Lepisosteus oculatus: one gene and its partner. The protein of the gene in region 1 purifies or fractionates together with the protein of each later gene. This does not show direct contact. Links are inferred from orthologs where the notes say so. Each region holds a gene or a part of one and is shown on either strand. Other genes may lie near its edges. The genes, in order: aplf and lig3.

The links.
Region 2: the proteins of aplf (region 1) and lig3 purify together in Homo sapiens (affinity purification with mass spectrometry; 3 studies listed by BioGRID and IntAct, counting the BioPlex papers as one, with this or other methods). This does not show direct contact. The link is inferred for Lepisosteus oculatus from reciprocal best matches to the Homo sapiens genes APLF and LIG3.

The regions. Positions count from the first base shown.
Region 1 is NC_090712.1:8,480,360-8,492,059, reverse strand, and holds the start of aplf (aprataxin and PNK-like factor), read left to right. Parts: upstream 1-7,157; 5' UTR 7,158-7,228; intron 7,229-7,232; exon of another isoform or gene 7,233-7,315; intron 7,316-7,840; 5' UTR 7,841-7,851; coding exon 7,852-7,944; intron 7,945-11,700. Other genes in the region: fbxo48 (F-box only protein 48), read right to left, coding at 3,783-3,944, 4,435-4,731. UniProt on the Homo sapiens protein: Histone chaperone involved in single-strand and double-strand DNA break repair.
Region 2 is NC_090721.1:1,739,616-1,750,424, forward strand, and holds the start of lig3 (DNA ligase 3), read right to left. Parts: upstream 4,924-10,809; 5' UTR 4,806-4,923; intron 3,913-4,805; 5' UTR 3,884-3,912; coding exon 3,343-3,883; intron 2,253-3,342; coding exon 2,154-2,252; intron 1,740-2,153; coding exon 1,551-1,739; intron 760-1,550; coding exon 608-759; intron 1-607. UniProt on the Homo sapiens protein: Isoform 3 functions as a heterodimer with DNA-repair protein XRCC1 in the nucleus and can correct defective DNA strand-break repair and sister chromatid exchange following treatment with ionizing radiation and alkylating agents.

The DNA of each region.
Region 1 (11,700 bases):
AATCACCCACCTAATCCAGATGTCCAGGTTTTGATTTTGTATTATATTAGCACATTAAAGACCTCCCTGACTTTTCTGTTAACAGTTTATTGCAACTTTTGGGAATTTGTAGTATTACAGTATGAATATTGCAGCACAGAAGTGATGTATGCAATCATGAGTTGTTGGAGTTGTTAGTGAATACTGAAAAACCTTTGACCCATTTCACTTTGCTGTTGTGTTGGTTACATGTTGCCAAGAATCACTGTTCAGGGCTTCAATTCAATTTGGGGGTTCCTTCAGTGTGTAGTCTACAAATATGCCCTTTGTTTGTGTGGGTGTCCTCCCACCTCCAAAAGGCAAGCTGGTTAGGTTGGACTACTCTAAATTATTGCTTTCTGGTGGTGTGTTTCAAGGGGAATTCATAGATGGTGATTTGTTCCCACTATAACTAGTAATGCCTATGTGATTACGGCATTATGTTGCCTCTCTTTAATTGCAATACCTCAAAACTCCACAATAAAGAAAGGCCATTTAATACCATAGTCCCATAGCCTGTTAATGTAATAATCAATCTCACTTTTAACAAAAAAGAAATATAAAAGAATTTCATCTCAACTATCAGCCGTAATTGTATTTAAAATACACTGTGCCCACAAGACAAACTAAAAATCAAGGGTTTTAGTTTGGATTGAAAATCATTTGTTCCCTATTCCCCCAGTCTTTCAGTATACTTCCTCTGTCTAATCTGAAGATTGTGTTGGGAAATGCTGAGTTTTACTGACATTCAAAGACATTATAATAATTCTGCGAACACAAAAAAACTCTTCCTCTTTTTTTCAGATATTTATATTGCAGAATGAAACTAAATGTTATTTTTTTTGGGGAAAAGAAAACTGTTTTTAAAAGCTTGTTTTAGGACTTTTGCAGTTTTGTCTTTTGACATTTAAGATAATCTATTAAAATGCTACGCACAGATCTTAGCAGACAATATATATCTAACTATAATAGCAGGAAAAAATAGATGTTCTGTATTATCAGAGTTTGCAATACCCAGTAAGCTCGTCTTACCAACAAAGAGTGATTCCCTATTCTTTCTGATTATTAAAATAACATAAAATATGTTTATGCTTTCACATTGTATGTCTTCACCCTATTATAAGTACAAAAGAAATAAAATAAGATACATGGGATTCAGAGGAACTGAAAAATTGGGTGTGTACTGTACATAACCTCAATACACCCATTACCAGTACATATTTAAAGCCCAGCTGGGTTAGTATTGCACAAGGCAACATGAAAATGAAAAGAAAAAACAACACTACAGTGTAGTGCAGTGTAGATTACCACTGATTTGGTATATAATTATAGATACATAGATACATCTATGCTAGATTAAAGTTAAAAATGAAAATGGTTCCTTACCAGACTAGTAAATTACTCAATCTAATTACCAAGTTTGAAGGTTTTGTATATGCATCCTTTCTGATTGTTGATTCACAGTGCTCTAAGTAATATTAAATAATAAGGTATTAAAATAACATGCAGTGCAAGAAAATAAAATTAAAAGGCCTACCCAAAAAACACACACACACAAAGACTGCAAATAATGCTGGGATCACACAGGCAATGGAAACTACTGAAGTAAAAGAACACAGCTGTCTTTGTTATAATTTAGATGCTTTTACATGTTGTGTTTGCTAACACACAATTGAATGTATTTAATGTTGAAAAGCTGCTTTTGTACTGTGTGTGATCTAATGCTTACACATCAAATGTCTATATCTCCACTGAGCTCTGAAGAGCTGTAGACACCTTCATATTGATATAACTAAGACAAAGGAAAACCAAAAACAATGCAACATACAATATTTACAAATACACCTCTGGAAAAACAATAGAAAAGTACATTAAACTGTTAAGTGTTTTTAATAATGGCTATAACATGGTATTACTGTATATCATAGTAGGAGCCCGTTCAGTTGTATTCAATATTTTTAATTCAGACCCAGGAAACTTCTCAGAGAAATCTATTTGATGCAGCAGGTTCCTGTTACTGAACTAACACAACTCATCTTGCCTCTTAGTGAAAGGTTGTCATTTTAAGTTTGTGATAATCTCTCAGGACTTTTTTTAAACAATGCACATATGCAGTAAAAGGCAGGCATTTTATCTAAGACAGGCAGCCAATTAACCATGTTAGCAGCGGATATTGTGGGCAGTGCAGTTCTGACAGAATGTGTCATTCTGCTTGTATCCATCCTTTATCATAAGGCATAAGTAATTTTAAACTGCTACCATGGTTGACTAATTTCAGAAAGTTACTAATTCACACAATAGCACTAAATAATAAATAGAATAATTATAATTATAATATACATAGCACTAAATAAATGTATATACACATCCAAGCTAAAAATGCTTTTGTCCTTTTTAAAATCTCTCTTTTCCCACACAATGTAATATAAATGGCTCATTGCTAAAACAGTTTCCATGCCCATACATAGATAAAACATACCATATACTCTTTACATAGGTTTTGGTGCAAAATGCATGTAAAATGTTTTATGGTGGATTAAAGTATGGCAATTCTAGCAATTTTATACTGTTTTTCTGGTTATTTAGTAAATGTCTGGGAGTTTTTTTTTCTTTTCAGCACATTTCTGTCTGACAGGATAAATTATGGTCTATTACAGCATGGCCTGCTGAAACATTTGACCAAGAATATGAAGCACATAAATAATACAAGATGTATAGTGATTTACTACTTACGATCATCAGATAAAAGTACAACACTGTCTCACTAAATCTTTTAAAGGACTAAAAATCTAACACTAAAGAATTCTCATACATATAATATACAGCTTTATACATTAAGTACTGGTGTTAGGTCCCAAACTGTCCACAATAGTACACTCAGTACACTAACAAATATAGCACCTTAAACAATACATTTGTTCTAAAACGATAACTGAAAAACCTGTTCACTTTCACAATGCGTTTTCTAATCTTTATAGAAATGTTTCATTAATTAGTTTTGTAGCCTCTAATGTTGTGTGCGTTTGTGCTATCTCCCCCTGCTGATAGCTTTAAGTGTTGCAAACAACAGATATTGTAGATTGTGTACTGTTTTAGAACTACTAGAGCCAGTGAGAAATTGCAATTTTCCTTCTTTAAAACCCATTACACTGTCTTACAACATTTTTATATATATTGTACATGTATATATAAATTTGCAAATTCCACTGTATTTACATGAATAGAAAAATGATCAAGCTCTAATATATAATAAACATTCTTCAAGAAATGCATAAAGTAGTAGTTAATATAAAGAAGAATCAACAATAAAACTTATTGATAAAAAAAGCCTTTTGAAAAACCTTTGTGATGAGGCCTAAATATTTTTTGAAGTCTCCAATATTTTCACACTGGCTTGTGAATAGGTGCTGAATTTGTGTCTGTTATATGGCATGTTGACATTAAACTAGAACTTGCACAGATCTGTTTCCCATGATGAGTGTTTATTTACAACAAAATCAGGGACTGATTAAACAGGGAATTAAAGCACAGATTAATTACTTTTTTCTCCACATATTCTGAGCATGCAGAACATGGACAAAACAAAATAGGATTTACTGAATTTATAAATCCTATGTCTGATACGTTTTCAATAAAAAAGATAAAATTACACTGAAGGTATTAAAAATAAATTATTTACAAAAGGTACAGTAAATGTGAAAAAGGAGGTTCAAAATCCCCTTTTCAGAAGTGCTCCACACATACTGTACATCTGCAGCCACCCACTATCTTTCCAGCTCAGCTTCCAAAATTTTCCCCCAGGTTTCTGCATCTAAAGGGTACATGCTCTTATTCGGAAGTTCATGAGAAGAGCGAATGTTGCTGTATCTGCCATTGAGCCATTCTCTTTTCACACAGCCTTTCCAGTAGTTTCTAACTAATGTGACCTAGAAAATGAACAAAAACAGACACAAACAAAAATATTACCTTTCTTGCACTAAACAATTACTGTGACTCTGTAAAATACACTAGCCAAATCCCTACATAATATTAACCTCATTACCCTGTCTAAATTAATAAGACTGAGTGGAACAAACTTACTTTATATAGTGTGCAGTTTACCCATGATGGTGTGAATTTGTGAGGACTGGAATTATATAATGTTCAATAATACTGATGTAGTCTTCCACTGATTCTACAATGCACTGAAAACAATGCCTGCTGAAACATTTGACCAAGAATATGAAGCAAATAAATAATACAAGATGTATAGTGATTTACTACTTACGATCATCAGATAAAAGTACAACACTGTCGCACTAAATCTTTTAAAGGACTGAAAAGCTAAAATCTTTCAAATTAATTGAAAACTACACGCTGATAAACTTTTGCATGAAATTGTTATGAATATAATATAATAAAAATAAAAATACTGACCTTCCAAGAAAACCCATCCCCTCTGTCCTCATCCACCTCTCTCTGACAGATAGCTCTGACTGTCAGGCAGTGATTCCTCCACAGGTGGTCACTGTTTTCAATGATGTTGTTCCAGAGTTTACACGTCACAGCAGCACTGCATAAGCTTTTAACGTCCAGCTTGCTGAAAATCTCCAGACTTATTTCTGGAGGTAATATGTCAGCAAAGTTGTATCCTTGGCCTTCTCTTGAGATCAGACTGCAGCTTCCTTCTGAGAAAGTAGAGGTATTTCTGTTTCTTTTAGAAACATACTGCATAGTTTGAAGTTCTCGCCTCTAGGAATGACAGAATGGCTGTCCTGAAAGCAAAACAACGCTCTTCAAAACGGCTCATTTTCAGATCTGAACATATACTAGTATTGGTATAATGTAAGAAAAGGTTTGTGAACCCTGTAGGTTTGTCCATATCTGTGCATATTTTAGATCTAAAACTTAATTAGATCTTCATGAAAGTCTTTATAAATTAAGAAAGTATCCTGATTAAGTATATATATATCATAATAAGGAACAAGTAATAGGTTTATTCCATGCTGAAAAAAAGAAGAAAGAGAACACAACGTTTCGGACGTGGAGCCTTCTTCAGGTGTGAGAGAGACAGGGCCAGCTCTGCTTCCAAAATTTCTCTCACACCTGAAGAAGGCTCCACGGCCGAAACGTTGTGTTCTCTTTCTTCTTTTTTTCAGCATGGAATAAACCTATTACTTGTTCCTTTGCAGCCTACGCATGCTGACGCAGCTACCCACCTGAACTATATATCATAATATATATATATGTATAACACAAAGACATAACACATACTTCAATTATTTAATTAACAAAAAGATCAACAGAAAAAAACTCCTCCAGGCTTCTCTTAAAAAATCTTTGTGATTTAATGCTTTTTTGGCTTCATAGACCATTGTGTCTCAAAAATCATTGAATTAGTAAATATAAACCCATTTGGTTTTAAAGACCAGGTTAGATGAAGCAAGACATCATGGTAAGAAATGGTAATTCCCACAATTCTATTGAATTTTCACAAACCTTTTCTACAATGAACAAGTAAAGGTTTATTCCAGGCTGAAAAGAGAAGAAAATAAACACAATATTTCGGCTGTGGAGCCTTCTTCTGGTGTGAAGAACCTACTTACTTGAACTACTCTTTCCTAACGTAGTGGTTAATCCCACTATCAGAACAAACTGCAATATTAGAACAAAAGCCTACTTTGTGAGAGTTCCTACCCCTTTTACACACGTAAGGTGTTCTGTAATTAATAACGCCTATTGATAAAATTACATTTCATAAAAAATAGTGTTCGCAATATTTTAGTGGGGTTAGTTGTTTAAATCGTTTTTCTAAATCCCACCGTTAATCATCCTCAGTAAAACGTGCTGTGCAAACCCACAATGGACAAAACTAAAAGGACCTTGAATAACAGTACTACAGAGCATTGTCGAAAACATCGAATAAATATAAAATTGTGTTATACTGTAATTTTATTTGTGTGTGTGTGGGGGGTACATTTAAAAACTCAGAAGATTTACTACTGGGGCAAATTAAGAAATATGTTTAGCTGTTCACTTCGCGGAAGTCTGCATTCATATCCTTATTTTGCCAAGAACTAAGCTGATATACATATATGTACACGACGAAATCCTATCAGATGCAATAATCACACGACAAGGGGAAGTGCAAGGTTACTGCAGATCACCGTTTATTACCGTCTTTTTGTGAAGGAGGGGAGGGTTAATCAAATTAACACTTACTGCCACGTATGTTTATGAACATAATCTCTGCCGGGTCATGAAACAGGCAGTAATGTTTACATTGTTATTAATATAATAACATATAAATATATAAATGGATATTTTGCAAACATTATAATCGCGGTTTACGTACGGGTACCATAAGTGTGTTTAACTTTGAATTGCTTTTTTAGATTTAAAAATTACCTGGCTCACCATATGCCGTTACCAGTGCTAGAAAATAAACAGATTACGCCTTTAACCGATCAGAAAATGAACGTTTTTAAAAGATAAATGACTGCTTTAACGCTTTAAAGTCACGACTTATTTTAAAATTAAAATCATAACTACATACAACTAATCTCTTTTTAAAATTACTAACTGTAGACCGTTTAAACTCATACCTTCTTATGGTTCACGTCATTATGTGACAGCTGACAGTTTAAATGCCTATCCTTTTCAAATTTTTATTTACGCAATGACGCACCCCTACTGACCAACATGGCAAAAACGCATGCGTGCAAGTCGAGGAAGTGTCTGGGAAATGTAGTTTATTTACAGGACGACCGCTGGGTTTTGGGAAGAGAATACGGTGTCACTAGAGAAATGAAGTTTGTAGAAATGCACGCACAGCAGTTTTTTATTATTCTTGTAATACTCAAATTAAATTTGTATTTAAATATAAATTAACAGTATTAAATATGTCTCTTAATTTGAATACGAACTTTACCTTTATAAAAATAGCTCTGTCCAAAAATTTCAAGGTATTCGTTAAGGCACCATGTGGAGGTGTTACGTTTTTATGGAGGTTTTTACCAATTTTGGTGAAATCTGGAAAATGTTGTCTCAATCCTGGTATATTTCAAAGTGGCCTTAATTTATCGTAGTGTAAACGACCACATTTCCCAGAATTCTATGTGATAGTCGGTGCATGCGACTTGAGCTATGTTGTAAAATTACCGGAAATAAACACGATTTTGAACTGTTATCTGAGTGCCTACCAGGTGGCAAACGAAAAATCAGACCACAGGTATTGATTAAGCTCGTAGAGCAGACCTTTAAAACGAAAGTGTGGCACTATAGCCTGGTATCAGTAGCACGTTTGAGCATGTTTCTCGTAAGGACCTTATTTGTACTTTATTGTACTGAATAACGCATATGTACCTCGATTTCTTGTTAAGCATCTGCAAAACTATACAACTACACAAATACAGGGTTGTCAAAAAACAGTGATACTGTTGTTTGTATCGTTAATCAGCAAAGTTTTAATACCTTTATTGTACTGAAGAAAAATTATATGAACTTGATATATATATGAAGACTATTGAAGACATCCTAGCCATATAAATGTGCAACATTTGATGACCTAATGGATTGAGGCAAATTAGACTTAAATTACATGTTGGGTAATTGCTCAGGTTTCTCTTCTGAATCGAATGCTTATATGTACACACCACAGTAACAAAAATTGACCAGCGAGTGAAGTCTGATTTGATCTTAGGACTCTAACTGAGGTTCCAAAACCCAAGGTTTAGTCACACATTGTAATTGACCATTCGGTTGTTTTAATGTTTATGACTTGCATTTGTGAAGCACACGCAGAATGCGTCAAAATGTATATTGTATAATTCTGATTCTGCAGGATAGGTGGACATGTCGGGATTTGAACTGGAACCATTGGACGGGAACTGTTCAATCCCGCTACCAGTTGGAGAAACCTTAATTGGAAGAGGACCTCTTCTCAGGGTACGTGTTTTTTAAACCTACCTCAATTATTTCCTTAAGCACTGCAGATATTTTACTTGTAAGAGGTACAGTCAAGCTATTTCATTTTGCTTAAAAGCAAGATATTTTAGAACATTTAGACATTTGTGACGTGTAATCAACACAATATTGACCGTCGTGTATAACAGCTGGATGCTACACTTCATCGGTGGATAAAGTTGGTCCCCTCTTATGAGCAAAGCACTTTAAGATCCTATGAGGTATATAACATATACATTTAATCGTGGGTGTCTGTAATAGCAGAAACGTTCTTCTTTACCACAAGTGGGCAGCATAGCCTCAAATGGCATACCAGTCAATATGACAATATTCTTCAGAAAGAAAAGTCACTCCAGTTTCTGACTTTTAAAAACATCTTTACAAAACGAACAATTCAAACATAAACTTAAATCCTCAGCATAGCTGCTTTAAAGTTTACTGTGATCAAAGCAAAGCGTTTTAAAGTGTAGTGAAATCACATCCAGCATGTAGGCTGTGGCAGAATAAAGTACAAGCATAGAAAGGGCAGATTTACCTTGCAAAAAGTCAGAAAATCATATACTTCCCTAACTCTCACATTGATTTAATTTGTGTTTGTTACCTGCAGCAATATATTTTGCACTAGTATATAATTAAAATTCTGTGTATACTATACAAGGGACATGCACATAACCGTTTGTATCTTGCAAATGCAAAACAAAAATTGGTGAAATTTGGCAGCTATAGGTCTGAGAAACACGGGACTAGAATAAGAGAACAGAAATTGAAATTTTACTGTTGGAAGACCACACAGTCTTCCAAAGTCAGTCTAGCTGCTGGCATGAGTAACAGATTTCTTTCACAAAAAGCCTGGTTTTATTTATCACACAAACTAAAGAAAAACGTCCAAGGTAGGGGATGTTAATACCCAATGTTTGATGTGTACAAGCTATGTAGTAAACGATTACATGTGTTATCAGATAATATAAATTAAGGTAATATTGAGTAATGTTCTGTAACACCCATAAGATAGATCTCTTTTCAAATATAGTAATGCAGGAAATGAAATGTGATATAAATGTAGAAGCCTTTTTTATTTTGGCGTTTGAGCCCACTCTGCACTCCTAGATGGCACTGTAATACAAGGCTTTCTGTCAGCAAAAAGCACATCACTAAAGTTGGGAGCTTTTCTTGAATTCTTATTTTCAGATTACTTTGGAGTCTATCAGCTTTTATAAAAAATCAAGTCTATAATGGTATTATGGATGGAGGAGCAGACTGCTGCCTTTGTGAGCTAAAACCGGGCGATGTTAATTTATGAACCCTTGTCACTTAAAAAGAGTTATTACAAAGAATAATTTATTTTGTTGTGAGTCCTGAGCTTTTAGCCTTTCAAGGTGCAAATTATAGGCACTGTTTACTACAAGTTTCATTTTTGCCACACCAGTATAAATCTAGATGTACTGTAAAATGTTTGCATGCTGAGTACTTTTTTTTTTTACTGATTCTATTCCATAAAGTAGACACATGGTTTAACAGGCACGCACACACCTTCTTCTGATCTAGATTGTAAGGAGAAACATAAATTACATTTCCTCCTGTGATTTCCTAACACTAAGAGAATAATCAGTGGGGTAATTGCTTTGTCACTGGTCTGCAAATCATTGGATTTTGCCTTATATCTGTGAGCCCTGGAGATGTCTCCAGAGAAATTAGATTTTGAGATTTCTTGGTCAAGTAAACAGAAAGAAATGAATCTTTAAGGATCTTTCTGTCTTGTGTATTTGCTGTGTATTAAGAATTGTGAAAACAATAAAGCATCTTCCAAGCTTAGCAAATATGCTTTTATGCTTGCAGGGTCCAAAGTGTGTGTTGGACATTTGGAAAATGAAAAGGTTCCTTTAAGATGCAGAGAGTGACTGATTTTGAAGCAAGATGCCACAATGCCATAAAGATGTCTATGGATCTCATGCAAGATAGTTCACTAACAAAATAAAGGAAACACTTGGGTAAATGAGGGACACAAAGTATATTGAAAGCAGGTGCTTCTATGCAGGTGTGGACCCTGAATTCAATAAGCATTTAACATCCCATCATGCTTAGGGTCATGTATAAAAAGGCTGGGCAGGCCCAGTTGCCCATTGTTTAGGCTGCCGTGACTAGATGAAGAGATCTCAGTGACTTTCATAGAGGGGTGAATGTTGTGGCATGTTTAGCAGGAACTTTGGTGAGGAAGGCTGCTCATCTTGCTGATGTTTTATGAGGACATCAGTAGCTAAGGTGATACTGGCATGGAGCAGTGGAAGAAAGTCATACTGTCAGATCCTGGTCATTCTTCACTCTGTTTCCAGCAAGTGGATAAGTATATGTGTGGCACCAGTGCTTCTTTCCCACAGTGCAGGGTTCTGGCGGTTCTGTATGGCAAGGTAAATGCCACTAAATACAAAGCCGTTCTGGGTAATCACGTACATCCTGTAGTGGAGCATTTTTATCCTGATGGGAGTGAGATCCTCCCGGATGTCAGTGCTCCCATCCACAGGGCACGAGTGGTCACTGAATGGTTTGATGTACATGCCATGGCCGTCCAAGCACCAAATCGAACATTTATGAGAGAAATGTGCCTGAGACAGTGTTTTCCATCAACAAAACACCAATTGATGGAGTTTCTCGTGGAAGAATGGTGTTGCATTCCTCCACTAGAGTAGACACTTGTGGAAACTATGCCAAGGTGTGTTGAAGCTGTTCTAGTGGCTTGTGGTGACCCATTGCTCTAAGACACTTTTTGTTGGTTATATTTTATTTTAGGAGCTACCTGTATGTACTGTATCTTGTGTTATAAAACAATTATTTCTAATGGTACCTTGCCAAAAGATACCATTAGACTCACAAATAGAGCAAAAGATGTTGCTCATCAAATCTTAAAATATTTGTGCATTCATCAATATTTTTCTTTCAAAAGAAAACTTTTCACTGAAGTGTTTTATCCATGATTGCTGGTGTAGAGAGTTATTGCGGAGGAATACATCAAGGAGAGAAGGGAGTGAACAATTTCTTCTACACTGGGAAATGGAGTGTGAACAATTTTATACATATTTCAATTCAGAGAAATGAAGTTGAGGAGGTGTCTGTCGCTCTTAGGATACCTGTGCTTTTATCTCTTCTCACTGGAAGGACCAAGTAGTGTTAATGTGCTGCTCCTTAACAAGACGAATAAAGGTTCCAACTAGATGTTGAGTTCAGGTCATAATTATGTAGACTAAACCTGGACACTAAACATCCTACCGTACCTATTTAGCTAGAGTTCTAATGGGATTAGTAAAATAAATTTATTACAGATGATGGATACAATTTCAGAAATAGTAGAGGGGTTGTGGGGAGGGGGTTGGAATCAAATCTCGCAGATTAACGCAAGCAGTGCACTAATGATGAAGCTGAAGAGTGCCAGCAAATTTATAGGTATTAAATGTGATTACTGGCATGTAAATGTGGTATTAGCAACTCCCATTGTTTGTAATTGCCCAGCTGCACAGCACAGGGTTGGCCATGAATTAAACATTTTTTCGTTTCTCTGGACTTCGTTGACGGTGTGTTTCCAGGGAGGGTCCATGCGTCTTGGTATGGATACAGGCAGTTCTGTACAGTGAGACCTCTGGCCTTACTGGTTCCTGAGGCTGTCCATGTCCGTACAGTAGAAATAACTTGCATGGCCTTGAAAATGGTCCTAATTAAAACCACAAAGGAATGTGTACTGCAGTGTGT
Region 2 (10,809 bases), on another chromosome or scaffold:
GATTAAGTTTGAAAATGCTGGCTACATCAGGCTACATACTTCAAAGCATAATGCTCTTAGAAACTAATCATCCTTCAGTTTTCCTCTACATATTTTATTTAAAATGTGTTAACACTGAAATAACATGAATGCTTCATCTGACATAGAAATTAATACACCAAAATGTAACAAATTAAGACTGCATTTCAAGCGCATACTAAGAAAGGCTGGAGCAGAAATACTGTACAGCACAAATGACTTTTTTCTCAGTTTGTATCTCATGTTAGAAGCGAAAAATAGTATATAACGCTAATACATATCAGAAACTGTACCGCAATACAAAAGGTCTGTGCTGAATTTGGTGAAGCATTTGCAAAACTCACTGAAAATCTTTTCCACAGCAGAATAAATCCTCCCCCCTTCTATTCCGTTTACCCAGGATCTAGTTCTGTGGAAGATCAGCAAGCCCCGTATCTTGTTTCGAAAACAACTGCTCGACACAGAGCACAAATCTTCCCGTTTTTCCTGATAAAATATTTTCGCCAGTGCCTCCCAATCCAGGGCCTGCTGCCGAGATCAGCGTGCAGGCGGAGTGGCGGAGACACGAGGAGGAGGAGGAGGGCCTGACCTGCTCGAGGTCCCGCACCATGTCGTCCTGGCTGCTGTTGAAGATGCGGCTGAACAGCTTGACGATCTGCTTGTCGTTCAGGTTGTACACGCTCTTGATCACCCCCGGGAGCAGCAGCTTCACGGTCAGGTACAGGTCTCCGCGGAAACCGTCTGCAACGAGCCGGGGGGCGGGAACACAGATACAAGGGGGTTAATACTGGGGCAGCCGCCTTTTCCAGGGGTGGGGTCTCGGAGTATGAACAACTGTGCCCAGGCCTGCCGTCACCTGGATTCAAAAACGGAAGGGGTCTGTTCACTGTTCTGCATAAATTAAGGATGAAAATTCTGTATTCTACACTTAAAAACTGCATAAACACTGAGCAACTCAATAAAACCACAGGCCTTTCTTTTCGACTCAAAGCATCAATGGTGTTCTGAAACAGCGAATTGCTGTTTTAATAAGATAAAGTAAAACCCTCGATTTCTAAGCGTCAATGCACAATGGTTAAAATCAAACTGTGTGTGATTTTATCACTTTGAGCTTCAGAGTGTTACGTGTTTTGCATATAGCCTGCAAGCAACAGAAAACTGTAAAAACGTTTACGGCTGGCGATGATTTTCAAATGGTCACAAGCTGAATTATTTTAAATGAACAACGTTTCGGCTGTGGAGCCCTCTTCAGGTGTCATACCTGAAGAACCCACCTGAAGAAGGCTCCACGGCCGAAACGATGTGTTTTCTTCTCTTTTCAGCATGGAATAAACCTATAACTTGTTCCTTCACAGCGTACACATGCCAACGCAGCTACCCACCTGAATTATTTTAAATGAGTTCTCCTTCATGCGGAAGACAAAGGCACGACAATTTTTACCTACGATCAGCCTGAGACTTTGCTGACGTGAGCTGCCGAATGCAACATTAGCCTGTATTAACTGACCCTTTGTTCACGGGCGGGCACTCACCCCCACTGGAGCCCTTCTTCAGGAAGTCCTGGATTATCTGCGTCTTGACGTTGTAACTGGCCTTCTCCGCCACCATGGCGCACAGCTTGCGGAACTCCCGCAACAGGCAGTCCTTGTGGCTGGGGTCAGACAGCTGGGCCGACAGGCTGCTGGAGCCCCCGGGAGAGCTGGAGGTGCCAGGCTTGGCGGCTGTCAGTCACAATCGACAGGGTTACCCATGGGCGCAGAAGAAATGACCAGTTATCCAGTTTCTAACCATCCTATCCAATACCATCCAAGGCCATGGGGTAGCTGGAGCCAATCCCAGAAGGCAATAGACGCAAGGCAGGATACACCCTGGACAGGACGCCAGTCCATCGCACTCATCCCCATTTTTATTAACTGGAAATACTCCCGCGATGTCACGTGATCTTTTAGTGGATCATTTTGCCTGTTCTCTTTACTTCAGTTTACACATCAACTGATTAAAACTGTGCTCTAAAAAAGGTTGACTTAGGCAGATTGGAGAAACTTTGACTATTTCTTCCTGCTGCTCGTGGCTTTCAGTTGGCTACAGTACAGGACAGGAAAGAGCAAACTGTGACAATGGCAGCACCTTCTTACCAGTGAATCCAGAGAACTTGCGTGGCGTCACAGGGGACAGGTCAGCCAGGCCAGTCTGAACCTTCTTCTTAGGGCTGTGGTTAGTCTTCGCAGCCAGATCTAGCCAAGCAACCACACACAAAAAACAGTGTCCTGTTAGTTTGTACCCTGCCCCTTTAAGAAATACATTTTTAATTACGCATAGCAACATAAGAGTTACAATAAATCCCAATTTCAAAATTCCTAAAGAATAAGTGGACAATACATAACAGAAAGATATGTTTCCAGATTAATTTTAATAAACATTCTCATGGTAAAATCTGTGAGAATGATTCATGAATAAGTGTTTTGCCTGCTGTCTTCTTAAGCATTATCCATCTCAAGAATTAATGGTTCCCAACTTTTTTTCTTTTTCAGTCATATAAAAGCACACTGGTTCCCAATCTTGGTCCTGAAGGGTCGGTGTGTCTATAGGTTTTCACTACAGCTGAGCTCATAATAACCTAAATCAGAAGATTCTTGTCTTTATTAGACCAGTTTAGCATCTTCTCCTGGCTCTTCAGCTGCTGCTCTAAGGCTGTGGTTCCCAGTCTTGGTCCTGGAGGAACACTATATGATCCTATATGTCAGTCCAGCTGAGCTCTCAAATGTTAAATGCTGACTTATTCTTGCTTGTTTTTACTTGTTTAGGTCAGTCCTGAGTGTCAAGGGTACTGTATCATCATATAGAACTTACACACATAACCTTTCCTTTATCTTAGAGTAAACAGCTCTTACAAATTCATCACCCGGCAATGAACAGACTTAGGTAGGAGTGGCACTGTATCAGACACACCCACAGGTGGGAGTGGCACTGTATCAGACACACATAAATTAAGATTTTGCAGATGTCCAATTGGTTACATTCCAGGCCAATACCAATTGTAAATCCCATTGGTCCTTCTAAGAGCTGAGAGGAAATGTTTCTAACACGAACCATTAGAAAACTGAAATCAATTAGCCGGTGCTTAATAACTCAACTACAAGAAGGAAAACAGACGAGACAGTGTTTCTCCAGGGCCAGCATTGGGAATCACGGCTCTGAAGAGACTTGGGCAACCCGCGGTCCAGAATCAGGACCAGCAGGACTGGGGAGCCAGTGTCATGGATTCAGAACTCCCATTCCCACATTGACTAACTGAAACAGAAGCACCCCCCCCCCCCCCTCCACCTGCAATGTGCTTGTTGATGAGCTCCTTATCCTCATCCTGCACCTCCTCCCAGCCCTCCAGGTCCGTTATGTCCTCGATCCTCCGGGTGGTGATCCGGGCGCGCTCCAGCTTCTCGAACATGCACTTGACGTGGTACCACTCCTTCATGTCGCCCGCGGACTCGCTGAAGGGGTTGGGCACGATCTTGCCGATGCGCACCAGCCCCTTGACGATCTTCTCCTTGCACTTCTTGCAGCCGGCTGTGCCGCGCTTGGCGTACTCCACGCAGTACCGTTGCTCGGGCATGGCCTCGCGCTCGCCGCCGCCGCCACACGGGGACCAGGACAGGTGGAAAGCTCGAGACGCTGGGGTCCGGGCACAGGCGTGCCAAGGCTTGCCGAGGAAGGCCTGGGACCGGGAGCTATAGGCCGCACACGTGGCACTCCGGTGGAAGTTGAAGGACTGAACGGATTCGCTGGCAGAAGCCTGATTCTGGAAGAGTTTGAGCAGCAGTGTGCTGAAAAGTGCTCTGCTTGTTTGGTGGGTGCAGAGTTTAAGCATGAAGCATACCTAGCTCATCACTTTAACACCTGAGGGGGAAGAAAGCATGGAGAATCAGCAGACAGACGAAGATGAGTCGATAAACGCCTTTCACAGAAAAGTGAGCAATGGAGAACTTCTCCTGGAGCTTTTTCCAGGTCGCGCCATAGCGGATTCGATTACTAGTTTTTTTTCTGTCTTTATCAAGAAAAGTGCCCAGAAAACAACGCTTTTCCTTCATGAGTTTAGTTTCAGCGTGAGCCTGGGCTTTTTGACCGAAGTTGTGAATTGGGTGCAGTTGATTAAAAAAAAACTCGGCAAAGTCCCCTTAAATGCAGCTGCTATTCTACAAAATATCTTGTGCCAAAAGAAATCGGTTCCGCGAGAACAGATGTTTTTTTTTCTCATTAAGCAACATTCTAACAGAAGGCAGCCTGTTTCCTTAATCTCTGTATGACTACAATGTTGCACCATGCAGGATAGTCTTAAATTATGATATTATACTGTACCAGGCAAATGAAGATATTCTAAGATTATCACCCTTCATGGCTGATAATCATAAACACTTTACGTGGTTTCAAGCTGAAATAGTTATGTCATCAACATTTTTGTCCACTCTATTCGGCTTTTAAATTAAAAAATAAAATTCGTAGTGCAAAGCACACTTTCTTCAACTTGACCGATTTTAGTATTGTGTGAAAACACAAAAATGGCTTAACTAAAGAGCAGATAGATTATAGATGGCCTTAATTTCCCACCACTTCGAGTTTGCTGTTTGCTGTAACGCACAAGTTCCCAGTAAAATGTCTTTCGCTTTTAGAATCCACTGTGCCGTGCTCGACCACAGCTAAAACAGACATTTTAATTTCCCAACGCCACGGAAAAAATCAGGAACCTTATGTAAAATGCACTTTACAATAAAAATGCTTAAGACCATGCTTACCGGTGTTATTCGTTTGTTACAGATGTGTTTGTGCTATTTTTGTACTTATCATTTTCTCCACTGTAGTGTGTTATTTTCAATGTGAGGTTTCCCCTTTAAACACCAGCCACGTTCCCCTTTTGTTTCCTGTCATATCCCACAGTGCGCATGTGCGACAGTTAAAAGTTTTATGCCGACAGAAATTCAGGTGTAAGCCGTGCCGGGGTATATCTTTAAAAATAACTGTAAAGCTATTAAACAGTGAACTATAAGTTTTGTTTCTTTAATTATTACTACACTGTCGCAAAGCTGCTGTAATTATGACTGCCATAGTTACAGCATACAGCGAATATAACATAAGAAGGTTTATAATCGAAATGGGGCTATTTATCTAGGCTAGCTCATGTGATTACGGGTAGGTCATTGATCAAAGGATCATTCAGGCTTTTTTTGAAAGAAGCTAGCCGCAATGTGTTTAAGCAGTTTACTCCAGATCCTCCCAGATATCTGTGTAAAGGTCTGAGACTTGTTTTTTTATGAAAGCCTTTTTTCAGGTTTGGTCGGCGGTGAGGTTTCAATATTCGCCTTGTCCTCTAGATGGAAGCATCGCTCTTTCACTGGAGATCTGTTTTGTCATAAGACTCCACAAAAGCACGCTTCTTCATGATCCAAAAAAGAAACTGGCATTGTATTTCTTTTCTACATGCACCCCACCATCACACAACCAAACAGTGACTGTCTATTGCCTTTTCCAATGTGATTGGACCCAAGAGACTGAAGAACTGGCTAAGCCCACATTGAAGAAAGCATGTGCCCTAAACGTAGAAAAAGAAACCAAGCTTCAAGAAGCCAGTCAGACGATACCTCCGATATCCATCCATCTGAAATCCTGACTGAGGGCATTATCTTCCCCACTCCTTTATACAGAAGCCCTCGATTTATTTTGCCCCAGGAAGACTTCTGTTATGGGGCTTTTTTTCTGCACCATGGACTCTTAAGTTACAGATCAGATATAAAAACTTTTATTGTTTCCTAACAGTATTAAATGTCAGTGCTTTCATTTGGCAACAGTATATCTGCTTCTGTTACATTGCAATGAGGGAAATATCAGAAAGTGAGGATTTATCACCGAAGTCCTTGTAGAAAAGCTAAGCCAGGTTCGTTACCTGTCATTCCTCATCTCAAGAAGCAGAGAATGTTACTATACGTAACACACCAGGCCATGGTATGTATTCATATGCTACACAGAGAGAAAAAAATCCAGGGTTACAGGTAACAATTAACACCTAAAGCTGCAGTCTGTTTTCTGGAAATTACTTGTGGGGGGACTGAACATAAGCAAGTTATTAGGTCTTATTTGAGTTTGGAACAACAAGGCCTTTTCTAGTGCACTGCACGCCCTCTGGTGTTCAGCAAGGAGTTTTGCTGCCACCTGCCACAATTCTTCAACAGTCGCTCAGGAAATGTAATGACAAAGGGCTCAATTCACAGATGATAGCATGTGCATCAGTTGATATATGGGGATTTAACAATTCAAATGCTAGTCTAATTGAATTTATTATTTTTTGGAGATACGCAATAGCTTGCCATCGGGATAACTCCTTTCTTCATCCTATCTACTGTATCTTTATGTCAGGTCAGATTAAAGTAGAAGATCAATCAGGTCACTGATAGCCTGTCTCGCTTCACATAGACAAGCAATTAAATTTTGGTTTAGAGGGAGACGTTTTCAAAAAGGTTTTTTTCTGAGCTCCCTGGTTTCCTCCCACCTCCTAGAGATTCATTTATGTCTTTGATTTATCTGTGTATGAATGAGTGTCTCCGGGCAAGTGCCCTATACTTGCAGAAAAGACTCTGGGCATTACCAGGAATAAGTGGCTTTCTTATGATGTGGGAAGGAACCTTTTAAATGATATATTTATGTGCAGAAACTGAAAAAAAAAACGTCATAATTTTGCTATTGTTACAGATAGGGGGTATAGATAATAGAAAGTGGGCAATAAAATAATTAAAATAAAATACATTAACACAAGGAGTACGCAGTTGTGGCACATGAGTTTTGGCACATGCTTTGTTTATTCTCTGGCACAGTCCTGGTGAAAGAGCAATTAATCCATTTGCAGAGAACTGCAAACGTTTTTCTGAGATGTGAACTTTCAAGATGTGAGTGGCTAACAGATATCACAACCACTGTAACAGGATGCATCTCAGAGGAACACTTTTTTTTCAGTCACCTACCTGAAGTACCTGAACTTGACTTGACTAGATTCATATTTTTCTCACGTTTACAAGTAACTCCTTCAAGGAAAAATTCCAGAAATAAGTTTACCGAAGACACAAAAGGCGAATTGATTTTGACCATGTCTCACTTTCACTCTCCTCTCTTTGAAGGAAGTGAAAAGACTGTGATACATTTCCAAACTCAATTAGAGAGCCTGCCAATGAGGTAGTGGTCCCACGAGGTGGGGAAACTTAATTAAGTAACCTGGCATTCAATGGTTGCTGCTCCACGATTAACAGTTAAACACAAGAAAATGAAGTCTTGCAGTTGTTTGAGCCCCATTACTTGAAGAAACGTGACTCCAAAAGCCCTCACACGGCAAATTGAAGCCAGATTTGATTTGGAAATCTGTCAAAGTGCCCAGGACACAGATCACTTTCCCAGGCACAAGAGCAATATTCTTTTCTTTGCTCGTAAAGTTCTTTGTTTTATTTTGCAGCATTAATTAAAGAGGTTAAAATACCACTTCATCTACATCACTGATCACTTTCAGTGCTTCTTTGCACTCATAAAATACAAGCTGAACTAATTGTTCAAAGGTACAGAAAACTTGCAGTGCTGGGAGAGTTGTTTCAGCTTCTTTCTCTGTTAGTAAACACTGTATGTTCTAGGTGCTTCTGCTCCCAGGAGACGTAAGAAAAAGCAGTAGTCGTGTGTTTGTGTGGGTTTCCTCCTGCTGTCCAATGGTGTATTTGGAAGTTAATTGGCTTCTATGAAATTGGCCTTGGTGTGAGTGTGAGTGTTTGTGTCTGTGTGTGTGTGTCCCCTGCAATGGACTGGCAGACCACCCAGGGTGTATCTCATCTTGTGCCTGTTGCTTGTCAGGTCTGGTTCTGTCTCCCTCATGGCCCTGTATTGTACTGTGGTTCGAACATGGATAGATGGTTTAGTAATGAGCTTCACCTTATACTACAGGATATGCTGTGTGGCCCTGTAGATGAAAGAAGAGAGAGAATTTTCAGTATGACTTTTAAAGGTTATGAACAGCTGCAGTAGTGCGCCAGTTCTATTACATTTGTACATGTACAGTATTCTTTTTCTCATATTCTGTGCTCTTTGTAGCTTGCAGCCCTGGACAATTGTCCTAACTATCTTTGATGGCTCTAATCCTAACCCTGTTCTCCCCACACACAATGGGTGGCTATGTACAGTAAGTAATTCATTTTAATGATCCATTCTCCAAATGTCATCTCAAGTCAGATGAAGACAGATGTAATAATTGAGCAAGTGACAGGGTTGCTATGTAAATGACTAATTAATTTAATGACCAGCTCTGCTGATAAGGCCTAGAGTAAAAATAGAATCTGTCTCTCCAGTACCATTAAGAATTCTACTCAAAGACCTTGGTGTGAGCCCTTCATTTCAACAAATAGAGCAACAGAAAGCAGGAGGAGAAGCAAACACTTATGATAAAAAGAAAATATGTCAGTTATGATCTGCAGCAGCCCTACAGAACATCCCCTTGCTTTAAAAATAGTTTTGGGGGTTGCTGTTCAAATACAAATCTTTGAGTTGTGCAGGTTTACAGACTTCATTTGATTATTCAATAGACACACACTTAGGCAAAATATATTAATATATTAATTCACAGTGCTGTAGTGACTGGTTTTGTCACACAAGTTCACTACTAGAGAAAAAACAGACTTATGAAAAGTGGTCTTTAGTCCCTTTAAGTCCATTTTAATTCAAAATGTTTGAAAGCTACAGTGAACAATGTTGTTTAGTGAGCCAATCCTGTTGCCCCAAACAACAATTCTCTTTATCTGCAAATATATTTTTTTTCTAATTTTTAAGATAAGAAAAATTAAATTTCCTAGAGAGCCACTCTCCTGGAGTGTATTAATAAATAATACTCATTGGAACATTACACTCACCTGGTAAGTCTCTGAATAATGAACATGTTGGCTTTCCTAATTCATTTGGCCGTAAGGCGGATGCACATATCTCTGTTTTCAGCTGACAGAAATAAATATTGCATCATTGTTATTGCCCTCAATTGCCGCCCACCAAAATGTCAAGGCATTTAATCTGAAATTTTTTGTGCTGCCTCTGTCTCTTTTTTTCTCTCCCGCCATTGATCAACAGCAGTGACTCAGTGAAGAATCTGGTGGAGGCTTTCCAAAAACCAGCGTCTGAAAATTGGAATGAAGCTCTGGCGCCACAAGGTTGTATTTAAATCGTTTGATTTCCAATTTAGCACACCTGGCATCCACAGAGCCCCCCCGAGACTCCGTCCTGCTGATTAACTCTGTGATGAGCCGCTGTGGCAACAAGCAATCTCCTCACTTTCTTCGCTGTCTTGCAGAATTTACTGCTGCTCTGGGGCCGGGCTGAGGCAGGCAGGTCTTGAAAGTGCAGCCTGCAAAGGTTTTCAAAGCCAGCCAAATGTAAAACCTAGGAAAATGGTCACCTAACAAGACAAAATGCATTAAATCACAGTATTAATATTGCTGTTATATACTTATAAACTTTCCCCTCCATCAGGTGATGGAGAACCTTTTTCCCATTCCTTTTTGGAAGGTTATTCTTGTTTTCAACAATTTTTTTTCACTGCAACGTTCACTATCCCCCATGGCACCCTGCCTAGGGCATTGTTCTTCGGCGTGCCCCACGGGGTACGGGCGCCATGATTGGGGTGCTGTCCTGCCATGTACCTCATGATTTATTGGGGTTCTGTGTGGGGTGCCACTCTGTATGTGTTAGGTTACCTGTCTTGTAAATTTATGTCTTTAACATTTAGGATACTAATCAATTTTATATGTCTATATTATATAGTCTGTGGCCTAAGGATTGATAAATACTTTTTGTTATTTGTTAATATGTACAGTCCTCTGCTATGCCCTTTTAAGTTATGTTTACTTTAGAGGAGAAATGTCCCTTAACTGTTCAACAAGTCATAATGCCACCCCAGGAATGTAACACAAGCTTCAAAATCCATTTTGGCCCATCGGCTTTCAGGTTTTGGTGGTACACATTCAGCAAACACTCCTTCAGGGTCAAATTAAGCAGGATGTGACATTTCCAAATGGACATACAGTAACCAGCATGAATTCATCACAGCTGGAAAGGAGGCGACATCTGTGCAGAACTAAACAGAACTGTCAAGATTTTTCAAAGCATGACTTTGTTTTCTGCAAGTCATGCACTGAAACTAAATTTAAGTACAGAAAGGAAATTATCAAATGTGAAATGAGTTGCATAAAATGAATCGGTACTTTAATGAAACAACAACAGTGTTACACATCATTAAGCATTGTTAATTATAATATACAGGCATAAAACACATACTGTACAGTATATACTGTATAGATTTCTCACAAATCCTCTGTCACTGGTAACTTACTGCTGTGCTTCCTTGTCTTTCCCTAGTAGTACTTTGACATTTCGATGTTTCCTTTCAAACCTCAGACTCAGAAGATGTACAATTTAACAACAAGCTACAGTACGATATTTCAAAACAAAATGCCCTTAGCTGGAATATGCAGCTGGAATATTTCTTTTATTTGCACGGAATTCCGAAGGGTTTTTCTGTTGGTATCACATTTCGGCAGCCATTGGTTCTGCTGGGTTTCCTCAAACTTTTGCTCATGCAAAGATGCCATCTGGCCTTGGCGATCGCTCAGGCCTGTTCTGCACAGCACGGCCTTCTTACAAAAGCAACACGGGACATGAAAACAAAGCCAGCATGAAGAGACTGGGACCATTCACAAAAACGACAGGAACTGTCGGAAACGACTGGAACCA